Linked DNA regions of Rattus norvegicus. The protein of the gene in region 3 interacts with the protein of the main gene of each other region in a pairwise test. Links are inferred from orthologs where the notes say so. Each region holds a gene or a part of one and is shown on either strand. Other genes may lie near its edges.

Region 1 (3,652 bases), on a different chromosome or scaffold from region 3:
AGGTGTCTGGGAGCTAGCTAAAGCGGTGGAGTGCTGGTGGAAGGAGGGGACATTGCTGGCTCTGCTGCAGCAGGATGCCCAGGTGAGAGAGAAGAAGCACACTGCCACAGTTGTCCGTGAACTGGTTTATGGTTGATGCGGGTTGCCCTGGGAAATGGTAAGGGGACCATACCGTAACAGGGCTAAGCAACACAGAAAGGACTATGGGAGATTTCTCTTTTTGGTTGGAGTCTCAGGACAGAGTAGTTGGTGCTCAACTCTTGAGGTTTTTTTTAGCAGCTTTATTGAGGGATCATTGACAGATGTTAAACTGATGTCCCCTTGATGCCACAATCAAGGTGTAGCTCTTCCTGTTTGTGTTTCCCATGCTGTGGCTTACCCAGTCACTTTGTCAGATACAGGCGGCCATATCATCTGTTGATAGTGCCCTCGGTCACACACCTGCCTGCAGTAGCCTATGTCCTCCTCTTCCTTTCTGTTAGGCCTGGCTCCCTGAAGAGAAGTCTGGCTTCCCAGAGCTCGGATGACCACTTGAACAAACGGTCTCGCACCTCCTCTGTGAGCTCCCTGACTAGCACATGCACAGGAGGCATCCCCAGCTCCAGCCGCAACGCCATCACCAGCTCCTACAGCTCCACCCGAGGTGTCTCACAGGTGGGTCTCCATGAGCAAAGGAGCAGACCTCCCTCCTGCTTTGCACTGAACCTGGCTCTAGCCTGAAGTAGCAAATAAACGAGATCAGTGGGATAAACAGCAAGCAAACCTGGTACAGAGAGCCTGCAGATAGAGACTGAAAAGCAGTGCGGTAAATGGGACTGAAAGAGTTTGTTCAGTGTGGAATATAAAGGAGATTTATAGGCAACTAGAATTTAGTGTGAGTTTTGATGCATGAAGAAGTTGTCATTCTTGTTTAGAGTTAGTTAGCGTCCATAGGTGGGGAAGCCAGGCAGCCCCACTGGCAGGCGTGCTTGGGGTTGAGTATTGGTATTGACACTAGGAGCTGCACAGGCTCCTGCAGGTAGATCAGTCGCCCTTTGTGTTTTTCCTTTTGTTTTTGAGACACGGTCTCATGTGTCCCCTGGCTGTCCTGAAGCTTGCTGTACCTCAGGTTGGGCTTGAACGAGCAATGAGCCTCCTCTTTCTGCCTCCTGAGGATTAGGTCTCCAGCTTGCACCTCCATACCCAGCTGGTATTTTATATTCATATTCATATTCATGGGGTGTCAGAATCTGTAAAAGTGCAGGGTGTACTTGTTATTGTAGGTGATTTTTGTTGAAATAATGAATACAAGTATTACCTTTTTATTTTTTTTTTTAATTTCTTTTTTTTAACTTATTATTTTGCAGTGTGTGGTGGAATACATGGTCTACGTAGTAAATTGCAATCAGGGCTATGCAGTAAGACATGGTCTTAAAAAAAATAAAAGAAAAGAAAAATTATTTGGGCCTCTGAGAGTTTAGGGGCAACATATGCATGCAGGTGCCCAGAGGCCACCAATCTCCTAGAATAGGATTATAGTACTTGTGAGCAGTCTGGTGTGGAGGCTGGGAACCAACCTGGGTCGTCCTCAAAAGCAGCAAGTGTTTCTTAACCACTGAGCCAGCTCTCCACACTCTCAAAAAGGTTATTTTTAGTTTTGCTGTAGTTGTTTGTTTTTCTTTTTAGTTTTTTCAGACACAGTCTCTCAGTAAAATAGCCCTGGCTGTTCTAGAACTAAATATGTAGACCTGTCTGGCCTTGAACTCAAAAAATCCACCCTCCTTTGCCTCCCTAGTGCTGGGATTAAAGGTGTGTGCCTCACCGTCTGGCCAGTTCAGAACATCTGCCAGTAATGGTCTCAGATGTGTCTCTGCTTGACTTGCAGCTGTGGAAGAGGAGTGGTCCCACCTCTTCTCCCTTCTCCAGCCCAGCTTCCTCCCGCTCCCAGACACCAGAGAGGCCAGCCAAGAAGACAAGGTGATCATCATTCCCTCCTGGTCACTTTGTATGGACGGGGCAATGGGCTTAACAGGGATTAGCTGGTGGGCTGCTTTTTCTGACTCAGCAAATCAAAGAGTCAAACCCCAGAAAAGTAGCAAAGAGCCTGCTAGAGTTATGTCCCTGTCCTACAGTGAGAGCAGCTGATGGCTGGAGTTCCTTCTCTGTCTCATACTCCACTGGGAGTGGTGCAGAGTGGACCCGGTCAACAGGGAGCCTGAGTCTCTCGCCCCAGTTCACCCTTCCCTGGAGCTCAGCTCCCTCAAGGATCAGGTCTGTCTGTGTCTGGCCCCACCTCCCTACCTGCCACCCAGCCTTTTTTTATTTTGTATGTCTGTCTGTCTGTCTTGGGCCTGCTTCCTCACCAGTTCCTCCTTGTTCCTGGCACTAACCTACCGTTAGAGCCTGAAGATGTAGTCTGGGACCCTGGACTTGGCAGGCTTTGAGTAAAGCTTTGCAGATCCCTGTTCTGTATTTGATTAAAGGCTGGTTGTTCATGGCCTCTGTCAACTCATAGTGATATGCTGACACCTAGAGCTGTGGTTTTTCTAGACTTTGCCTGTGTAGGAATGTGCAAGTGTGTGTGGGGGGTGCCATGCAGCCTCCAGGCCTTCCCAAGTAAACCCTAGCTTTTCACAATCTCCACAGAGAGGAGGAACCATGTCACCAGTCCAGTTCTTCAGCTCCCTTGGTGACAGACAAGGAGTCCCCAGGAGAAAAGGGTAAGTAGAGAAGCCATGGGAGCCGAGAGTGGCATCTCCAGTGGAAGTTAGCCACTGTGAGGCTTGGAAGATAGTTGTAGCCCTTTGGAGGTCCAGCATAGGAAGAGTGTCCACTGCAGAATATGAGGACTGCCAGGCCATGAGCTCAGGGTTGGGCTCTGAGGAGTGGGGTCACAGCTGTTCCGGAAGCAGTCAGAAACAACACTAACACAGAAAACAATCTCTTCCAAACTGTCTTGACCTTACTAGGGAGGCCAGCAACCCTTGTTTCTGTAGTTACAGATCCAGCCACGGGGAAGCAGCAGAGCCTGTGGACTTCCCCACCCACACCTGGCAGCTCCGGGCAACGCAAACGCAAGATTCAGCTGCTGCCCTCCCGGCGAGGGGACCAGCTCACCTTGGTATGTCTTATCGATCCCTCTCAGCTCTTTTAGTCTTAGGGAGTCTGGGGCAGGTTTCCACAGCTTCTGGGGTTGGTCTAACCTGTCTCTGTTTGCTTGGGCAGCCTCCACCCCCTGAGCTTGGCTATTCCATCACTGCTGAAGACCTGGACATGGAGAGGAGAGCCTCACTGCAGTGGTTTAACAAGGTCTTGGAGGATAAGACGGGTAAGACTGTGGAGCTCAGCATGCTCTGTGTGTGTTTCAGCTTTCCTGGGGAGAGAAGTTGTAGAATACTTGATTTTTCCATTTAGTTCTGAGTCTCATCTTCCAAGACTGCCTTCAGAGTCATAATACTGCTGCTTCAGCCTCCAAAGTGCAGGGTTTCAGATGTGTGCCATCACAACCAGCTCTTGGGTCTTTGTCCCCACTTGTTCTACCAGGGGCCTTATTACCAGGAGCTGTCACCAATACTTTCCCATGGGAAATGGGAGTTTTGAATTGTGTGTGAAAATAGAGTTACTGTGTAACTGCTTAGTCTCCCATTCATAGTCCTCTTGCCTGCACTCCCGT
Region 2 (3,752 bases), on a different chromosome or scaffold from region 3:
TGACTGGAGTATGTTGCTGGAGGTCGGCGTGGGGGGAGGGAGGGAGGGAAACTGGATTTGATTATGCCTGTATTGAAATGTCATGCTGAATTCCTTAATTTGCATAATTTACTCACATTAGTCAAGAACAAAACATTTAAAAAAATAAAGAGGTAGCTGATATGTAAATACTGAAAACACATTCGGTGAAAAGATTCAAACATAAAAAGACTACCTGATATATAATTATATTTGTATGAAATGTCCATAGAGGTAGAAAGTGGATGGGAACCTAATGGTCTAAAAATAGAAAATGAGAGCTGGAGAGATGGCTCAGCAGTTAAAAGCACTGACTGCTCTTCCAGAGGACCTGAGTTCAATTCCCAGCAACCACATGGTGGCTCACAACCATCTGTAATGGGATCTGATGCCCTCTTCTGGTGTGTCCAAAGACAGCGGTGGTGTACTCACATACATAAAGTAAAAAATTCTTTAAAAAAAAAATAGAAAATGAAAACCCACTGCTTAAAATGTATGCAGTTTCTTTTGGGGATAATGACACTGTTTCAGAATATGATAATAGAGATGTTTGGGCAAATAGTTTATATACTAAATTTTAGATTGATTTGATATCAATAAAATAACCTTAGGAACACAGAAAAATTAAAATACATTTTTTAGTTCCAATAATCACTTAAACTTTAACTTTGCAATTGCACTTTTGTATAGTTTGTTCAACTCCTGTTAAAGATTCGTGGTATAAGTCTCACATCCCAGTTGTTTGACGTTTCTTACAAATGATACATAGTTACATAATTACATAGTTACACCTGCTGTAGAGTGTGCACTTTGAACCTGTAAATAGAAAAGTATCTTGAGGGTTTTTTCTTCTTGTTGTTGTTTGTCTGTTTGGTTTGGTTTATCGCCTGATTCATTCTTGTTGTTTGTCTTTTGGCTGGAGTGGAACTCCTTATTACAGCAGGCTAGAATTGTCTGCCTCTGCTTCTGGAGAGCTCGGATTAAAGGTGGAAGCCATCACACTTGACCCTAATTCTTGGAATAAAAATGCCTACATGCTGTAGTCGGAGACAGAGTAGGTATGGTTACCAAATTTGAATGCAGTTGAATCTCAGCAATAGATTCAAAGAAAGCACTAGAAGAGAAACTAAAGGGGCCTGGCATGCAAAACTGCCAGGTTATCTCTTGAACTTTGAACTTCCACATCATGGTATGAATTGGTTCGAAGATAAGAAATAGAATAAATTCTCTCTAGTGGACAGGACCGAATCTCTGCTTTCCTAGAGGCACACACAGCTGACATCATGGCATTTGATGGCACTTGGAAAGTAGACCGGAATGAGAACTATGAAAAGTTCATGGAGAAAATGGGTAAGGGCTGGCTTCCTGTCTATTTGCTTTCTCCTGTCTGTAGTTACTGAATGACTTGGGATGTGGTAAGGTTCTAGGCGTGATTGTTCAGAGCCAGGAAACCCATATTTGCACTTCCTGCTTTAGGAAGAATATCTTGTTTCGCTAGGGCAAGCCCTGCTCTCTGAAACACACCAAGGAAGAGCCACCTGTGGTTTCTTCCCTTGCCTGATAATTGTGTAAAAACTGACATGTTTGTGTTCATTTAAAAAAGAATAGTATGGTGAGTTATGATAATTTCAAGAGCTTAAAAAAAAAACCACTAGCCTATAGGGGATTTAAAAAGCAAGGATCTTTTAATAAAGAAAAGAATTTTGTCAAAACTCAGCTTGAATAAATCATATGGAATTCTTTTCTCTGACTTATCTAACTTCAGGAATAAGTATAAAAAGCGGTATATTCTTCACAGAGGTGTAATTTAACAATATTATACATATTTGCTAATATCCTGGTAGCCTACACTACAAACTGGGCAAACATGCTTCATTTCTCAAAATAAAGCCTGAATAAATTATCTCTTTCACTTGAGGGATTGTGAATTGAAGTTTATAAAATTTCGTATTATAATGAATTAATCATAAAATGTCATTATAATTTTTCTGGATTAGGCCAATGAGGAATGCTACAAAGAGTCAATAGAATTACGAGGCAAACAAACCATGGTGTACGCCAGGGATCTCAACAGTCCTGAAGAGTGAAAAGAGAGGACTGTGAGTTATAGGCTAGCCTGTGCTATGCAGTAAGTTTGGGGCCTGCCTGAGTTACACACTAAGACCTGGTTCCAAACAACAACAAAATAAATACAAGCAATTTTGAAAGCAAAGTAGTGTTGGAAATAAATACTCAAACCTGAGCGTGTGTCTCTTTAATATATCAATATGCCTCTTAATACTTCACTTGACGTTGCTGAAATTTGCCTGATCATGGAAGCGAAAGGTCGGCTAATCTCGTTCATGCTATCCAGGGCTGAGGTGCTACCGTTTGTGGCTTCATTTACATTTTCTTACTTTGGAAAAGCAGCTTGAACCTTCCCTGGATCTGCCAGTGCTTCTCCCTTTTTCTCTAGAAGCCTGTTGGTGCTGTTTGCATACATGACACTATTTGCTTTTTCTTCCACACCCACAAAATAAAGATGAGCAAATGGAAACAGAACTTGGGAAGAGAAACCCTTTGGGTGACATTCTAATCTCACGCTCCCTCCATCTCTCTCCTTTGCAGGCATTAATGTGGTGAAGAGGAAGCTTGGAGCTCATGACAACCTGAAACTGACGATCACACAGGAAGGAAATAAATTCACAGTCAAAGAATCAAGCAACTTCCGAAACATTGATGTTGTGTTTGAACTCGGCGTCGACTTTGCCTATAGTCTAGCAGATGGAACAGAACTCACTGTAAGACATTTTCATAGGCAGAACATTTTGATTTTTTTTTTTTACCAATACAAAATGGTTTATCTCATGGAAAGAGCAGCTAATGCAAACCTTCTTCATTTACTGAAAAGGCCGCAAATATCTTATATTATGCACATTGACAAAATGTTTAATATAGTACTTCACTATGTATGTGTCTGTGAAAAAGCTATACTGAATAATAAGACTCAGATCAACCCTCTCAGATTGACTGAGTGTAGGGACAGTCTCAAGGAAATGTGAAGTTCTATATTTTCAACTCTACATGCAGGTGGCCCACAAGCTTTTAGCGTTCATGATATTCAAACTTAATAACCGCTTTGTAAATGCACTTGAACAATAAAGGTGGGGAGTGTAGGTGAATCAGGAGACTACGGCAAGCACAAACCCCAGCAGTGTATAAAACTGGCCATGGTCGCAAGGCCTGAGATCCCAGGACTTGGGAACTGGAGTTCATAAAGTCAAGCTTGTCCTCAGATGCAGACTAAGTGTGAGGCTAGCTTGGGCTACATGAGATCTCAGCTGATAAAACGACTATTAAACAATTAATGATGAATAAACGAGTAGCCACATGTGAAAGGCTAATGTATCATAGGTCATTAAGTATGGCTCTTTCAACGGAAAAGATAAAAAAAATTTAGGAGATAAGCTTTTCAACTAATTTTTCAAAATGTTTTTTAGCCTTGGGGTGTGTGTGTGTGTGTGTGTGTGTGTGGTGGTGTGTGTGGTGTGTATGTGTGTTTATGTGTGTGTGGTGTGTACGTGTGTGTGTTTGTGTGTGTGGTGTGTATGTGTGTGGTGTGTATGTGTGTTTGTGTGTGTATATGTGTATGTGTGTTTGTGTGTGTGTGGTGTGTGTGTGTATGTGTATGTGTGTTTGTGTGTGTGTGTATGTGTGTGTTTATGTGTGTGGTGTATATGTGTGTTTGTGTGTGT
Region 3 (3,752 bases):
TAAGATCCTATCTGACCTCTCATGCTCTCCTAATTTCATGACCAGCAAACATACATACGTAAGAACACACACCCGTGCACACATATGTGTGCATGCATTATATGCATTTACACACAGTTTAAAATTTAGGCTCTTTCTGTAACAGGAAACATATAGTATTTTTTAAGTGAGTCTGCTTTATTTCACTTAACATAATGACCGCAAGTTGTACCCCTTTCCCTGTAAGTCATGATTTCAGTTTTCTTTATGGCTGTGTAGAATTCCACTGTATCTAGGTACCACACTTGCTTTATTTCCTGAGAAACTGTTCAAAAGGCAGTTCCTCAACCTGTGACATTTGCAGCTCAGATTTCTTTAGGAAACCGGGTCGAATGACTTCTAGATAGCAAGGAGAGGAAAAAACCCAGATAAATTGTGAAAGTGGCTGAAAATTTCTGAAAGCTAGTGTATAGTGTCTCAAATTGTTGTCAAAATCTGTAGCTATTTCCAGACTTGTGACAGTAAAGCAAGAGAGTTATGACTTCTGGGCCAGCTTGGGTTACACAGTAAGACTCAGTTTACTAATGAACAGATAAACACAACGCAACACAAAGACAACACAACACAAGACAACAAACTATGAGAGAACTGACGCTATGATTTCTGAGTTTTTAACACAGGGCTTCTATTTTTCCCTAGTACTAGAAACTGAAACTAGGACCTCATGCATGCTAGGCAAATGCCTTACAACTGATATCTATATGTGTACCTGATACACACACACACACACAAACACACACACACACACACACACACACACATACACCTACGTACACACAAAGCCGTGTAGAGATTATTTTTTAGAAATAATAGTTTAACTGGTAATTCATATCTTATATTCTTTTCTTCTTGAAGCTTGCTTTCATGGTAAAGGTCTTTCAGTACTGTGTTTTTGTTTGTTTGTTTTTGTGTTTTTTGTTTGAGACAGGGTTTCCCTCTGCAGCTCTGGCTGTCCTGGAACTTGCTCTGTAGGCCACTTTGGCCTCAAACTCAGAGATCCAGCTGCCTCTGCTTTCCAAGTGCTGGGATTAAACACATGCACCACCACTGCCCAGCTTTCTCCATGTTTTATATTAGTTTCTTCATGCCCATTAAAGTCATGGAGAAAATTAGCTATTACTGTACCCTGGAGAGTGGTTGAGAAGAGTAAATGGTGTCCCTGACATTTCTAAAGCAAGGTATGAATTTCAAAAGATAATTTTCATCAAAAAAACTACTGGTGGACGTAAAAGTGAAATATGTATTTTGAGTTACGTTGTATAGCTGTTCTAACCCGTTTGAATAGTATATGCTACTGCATTTTGGCAAGACCACTGTCCTTTGTTGACTGACCACATGTTCTGAGCTAGAACAAACCAGTAGTCATGTCTAAAGTCAGTTAATATTTACTCAGGAATGCGTAACCCAAGAAAGAGTAAACTTAAAGAAGAATCCTCAATGCATGTCATATAAGAACAATAGTATATCCTGTCACATCTTGGTACTTGGAAACTCTGTCAGTTTCAGGGGTACAAAAGACCAAGGAAAGGACACAATTTTTGAGAATGACACCTTTCACCAGGAGCACATATCATTCTGAGGCTCTGATTTTGTAGCTGTTTGCTTTTTGCAAGGCACCGTGGAGGAACATTTCAGGTTAGGCAATGATGCCGCAAAGATTTATTAAGTTCAGAAACAGGAAGTCAGCACTAAGAAAGTGGTGTCCACAGGGCCAATGTCTGTTAAGTATTTGCCAACGTTCTGCGTGCTGGCGGAGTGTGAGAAGTTATATAATTCATTTCCAACTGTGGTTCAGCAGCAGGGACACGGACACCAAAGTACAAGTGAGTAGTTCCAGGATCACGCATAAACTCAGTGCTTACCGCAAAAGGAAGAGAAGTAAGATGCTGCTTCCAACAGCTGCTGTCTTTCCAGTCTCAGCACCTCAGCTAGACCTTATTCAGAGTTGTGTTTGGTGAGGATGCCCGTACATTCAGTAGGAAGAGTGCCTTGTTACAAAGGAATGTGGAAGGACCCTTCCAGGCTAGTCATCTGTGATGCCACTGGCCCTGGAACTCTGGAGAGAACTCTTGTACCTTAAAGATTGTTAGAACTGGGGCAAGGTGCTGTCCTTCGAACATTCCAGGAAGCTTTCCTTTTCATAAAATGCAAAATGAGTCCTCCTAGCGACTCAGAGCCATTTTTTTCTCTTCCCCTAACACCTGGACACATTTACTCAACAGATTTAAGGTTTCCGTTTTCATTTCTAGAGTCTCTTTCAACCCACCTGCCTATTTTTACAACCATCTCTTACAGTCTTTCTTTCCTGATAAGCATTTCCTTCATAAATTTAAACATAAATTAGCAGGGCTTAAGAAGCCCATTGCATTGTTGTGGGAGACATATTTCAGGAAGCATCCTATACCTTCTGTTTGTGAGCTCACCGAGAGGATTATTTTTCTGTTGGAGTCTAGTATGTTGGGTTGTAGGCACGCTTCCAGAGAGCCTTTGGTGTGGTGTGGTGTGGTGTGTGTGTGTGTGTGTGTGTGTGTGTGTGTGTGTGTGTGTGTATGTGTGTGTTTGTGTTTATTTTTTTATTTCTGTGTGGTATTGAACCCAGTGCCTCATGTACTCTAGGCAAGCAAGACTTCTTCCACTGAACCACATTACAGCTGTCTGCAGAGCCTTTGAGCTAGCCCCAGGCAGGTCTCTCTGGCCATGAGCACTTACATGCCAGTTTCTTTAGCTGGTTCCACATTAAGAAGAGAATACAAGTATCATTTCTATACTTGTGCAAAGGACAGACTGAGACTCTTACTGTCTTATCACAAGAGTGTATCTTACTATATTCTTATTGCACTTACTAGATTTCTACAAAGGGCATTTTCCTCAGTTTCCAGGTGATATTTTCTAGGGTTTTTCCCCTTATACATAGTTTCGGTAGACAGGAAGTTAATTTTTATGCCTTTATTTTCATCAAAATCACACAAAAACAAAAGCTTGCTTTGAACAGGGTGAGAAGTTGTATGTGTGTGTGTGTGTCTGTCTGCAGTGTTACAGTTTCTATTCAGGCCAATGTCTTTCCTTCTCTCTCTCTCTCTCTCTCTCTCTCTCTCTCTCTCTCTCTCTCTCTCTCTCGTGGTGTGTGAGTGTGTGTGTGTGTGTGTGTGTGTGTGTGTGTGTGTGTGTGCAGTGTTACAGTTTCTATTCAGGCCAATGTCTTTCCTTCTCCTTCCCTTTCTCTCTCTCTCTCTCTCTCTCTCTCTCTCTCTCTCTCTCGTGGTGTGTGAGTGTGTGTGTGTGTGTGTGTGTGTGTGTGTGTGTGTGTGTGCAGTGTTACAGTTTCTATTCAGGCCAATGTCTTTCCTTCTCCTTCCCTTTCTCTCTCTCTCTCTCTCTCTCTCTCTCTCTCTCTCTCTCTCTCTCTCGGTGTGTGTGTGTGTGTGTGTGTGTGTGTGCGCGCGCGCGCACGTGCGTGTGCTGTGTTGGGGTTTGTATTCAGGCCACTGTCTCACTGTCTCTCCTGCTAGGCAAGTGCTTCATTCTGATGAATCCTCCATTGACATCTTGAATAGTCTCCGGAACTGTAGATCAATCTGAGTAGATCAGAGCATAAAAGCAGTTTCCTGTAATAGTCAGGCCTGAATTGATTTGTGTTAATACAGCTCTTGATGTGATTGCCTTAACTAAGTATTTATTCCCTTCAAAGGAGGAAGCAGAAAGCTGTCAGGAAG

The links.
Region 1: the proteins of Agr2 (region 3) and Pom121 interact in binary tests that used the Homo sapiens proteins (3 or more experiments, as listed by UniProt). The two-hybrid records come from large-scale screens. The link is inferred for Rattus norvegicus from reciprocal best matches to the Homo sapiens genes AGR2 and POM121.
Region 2: the proteins of Agr2 (region 3) and Fabp2 interact in binary tests that used the Homo sapiens proteins (3 or more experiments, as listed by UniProt). The two-hybrid records come from large-scale screens. The link is inferred for Rattus norvegicus from reciprocal best matches to the Homo sapiens genes AGR2 and FABP2.

Annotation. Positions count from the first base shown.
Region 1 is NC_086030.1:26,919,951-26,923,602, forward strand, and holds part of Pom121 (nuclear envelope pore membrane protein POM 121), read left to right. Parts: intron 1-482; coding exon 483-654; intron 655-1,864; coding exon 1,865-1,956; intron 1,957-2,625; coding exon 2,626-2,699; intron 2,700-2,975; coding exon 2,976-3,100; intron 3,101-3,204; coding exon 3,205-3,307; intron 3,308-3,652. UniProt on the Homo sapiens protein: Essential component of the nuclear pore complex (NPC). The repeat-containing domain may be involved in anchoring components of the pore complex to the pore membrane. When overexpressed in cells induces the formation of cytoplasmic annulate lamellae (AL).
Region 2 is NC_086020.1:213,723,340-213,727,091, forward strand, and holds the start of Fabp2 (fatty acid-binding protein, intestinal), read left to right. Parts: upstream 1-1,289; 5' UTR 1,290-1,301; coding exon 1,302-1,368; intron 1,369-2,625; coding exon 2,626-2,798; intron 2,799-3,752. UniProt on the Homo sapiens protein: FABPs are thought to play a role in the intracellular transport of long-chain fatty acids and their acyl-CoA esters. FABP2 is probably involved in triglyceride-rich lipoprotein synthesis.
Region 3 is NC_086024.1:58,434,277-58,438,028, reverse strand, and holds the start of Agr2 (anterior gradient protein 2 homolog precursor), read right to left. Parts: upstream 2,122-3,752; 5' UTR 1,902-2,121; intron 1-1,901. UniProt on the Homo sapiens protein: Required for MUC2 post-transcriptional synthesis and secretion. May play a role in the production of mucus by intestinal cells. Proto-oncogene that may play a role in cell migration, cell differentiation and cell growth. Promotes cell adhesion.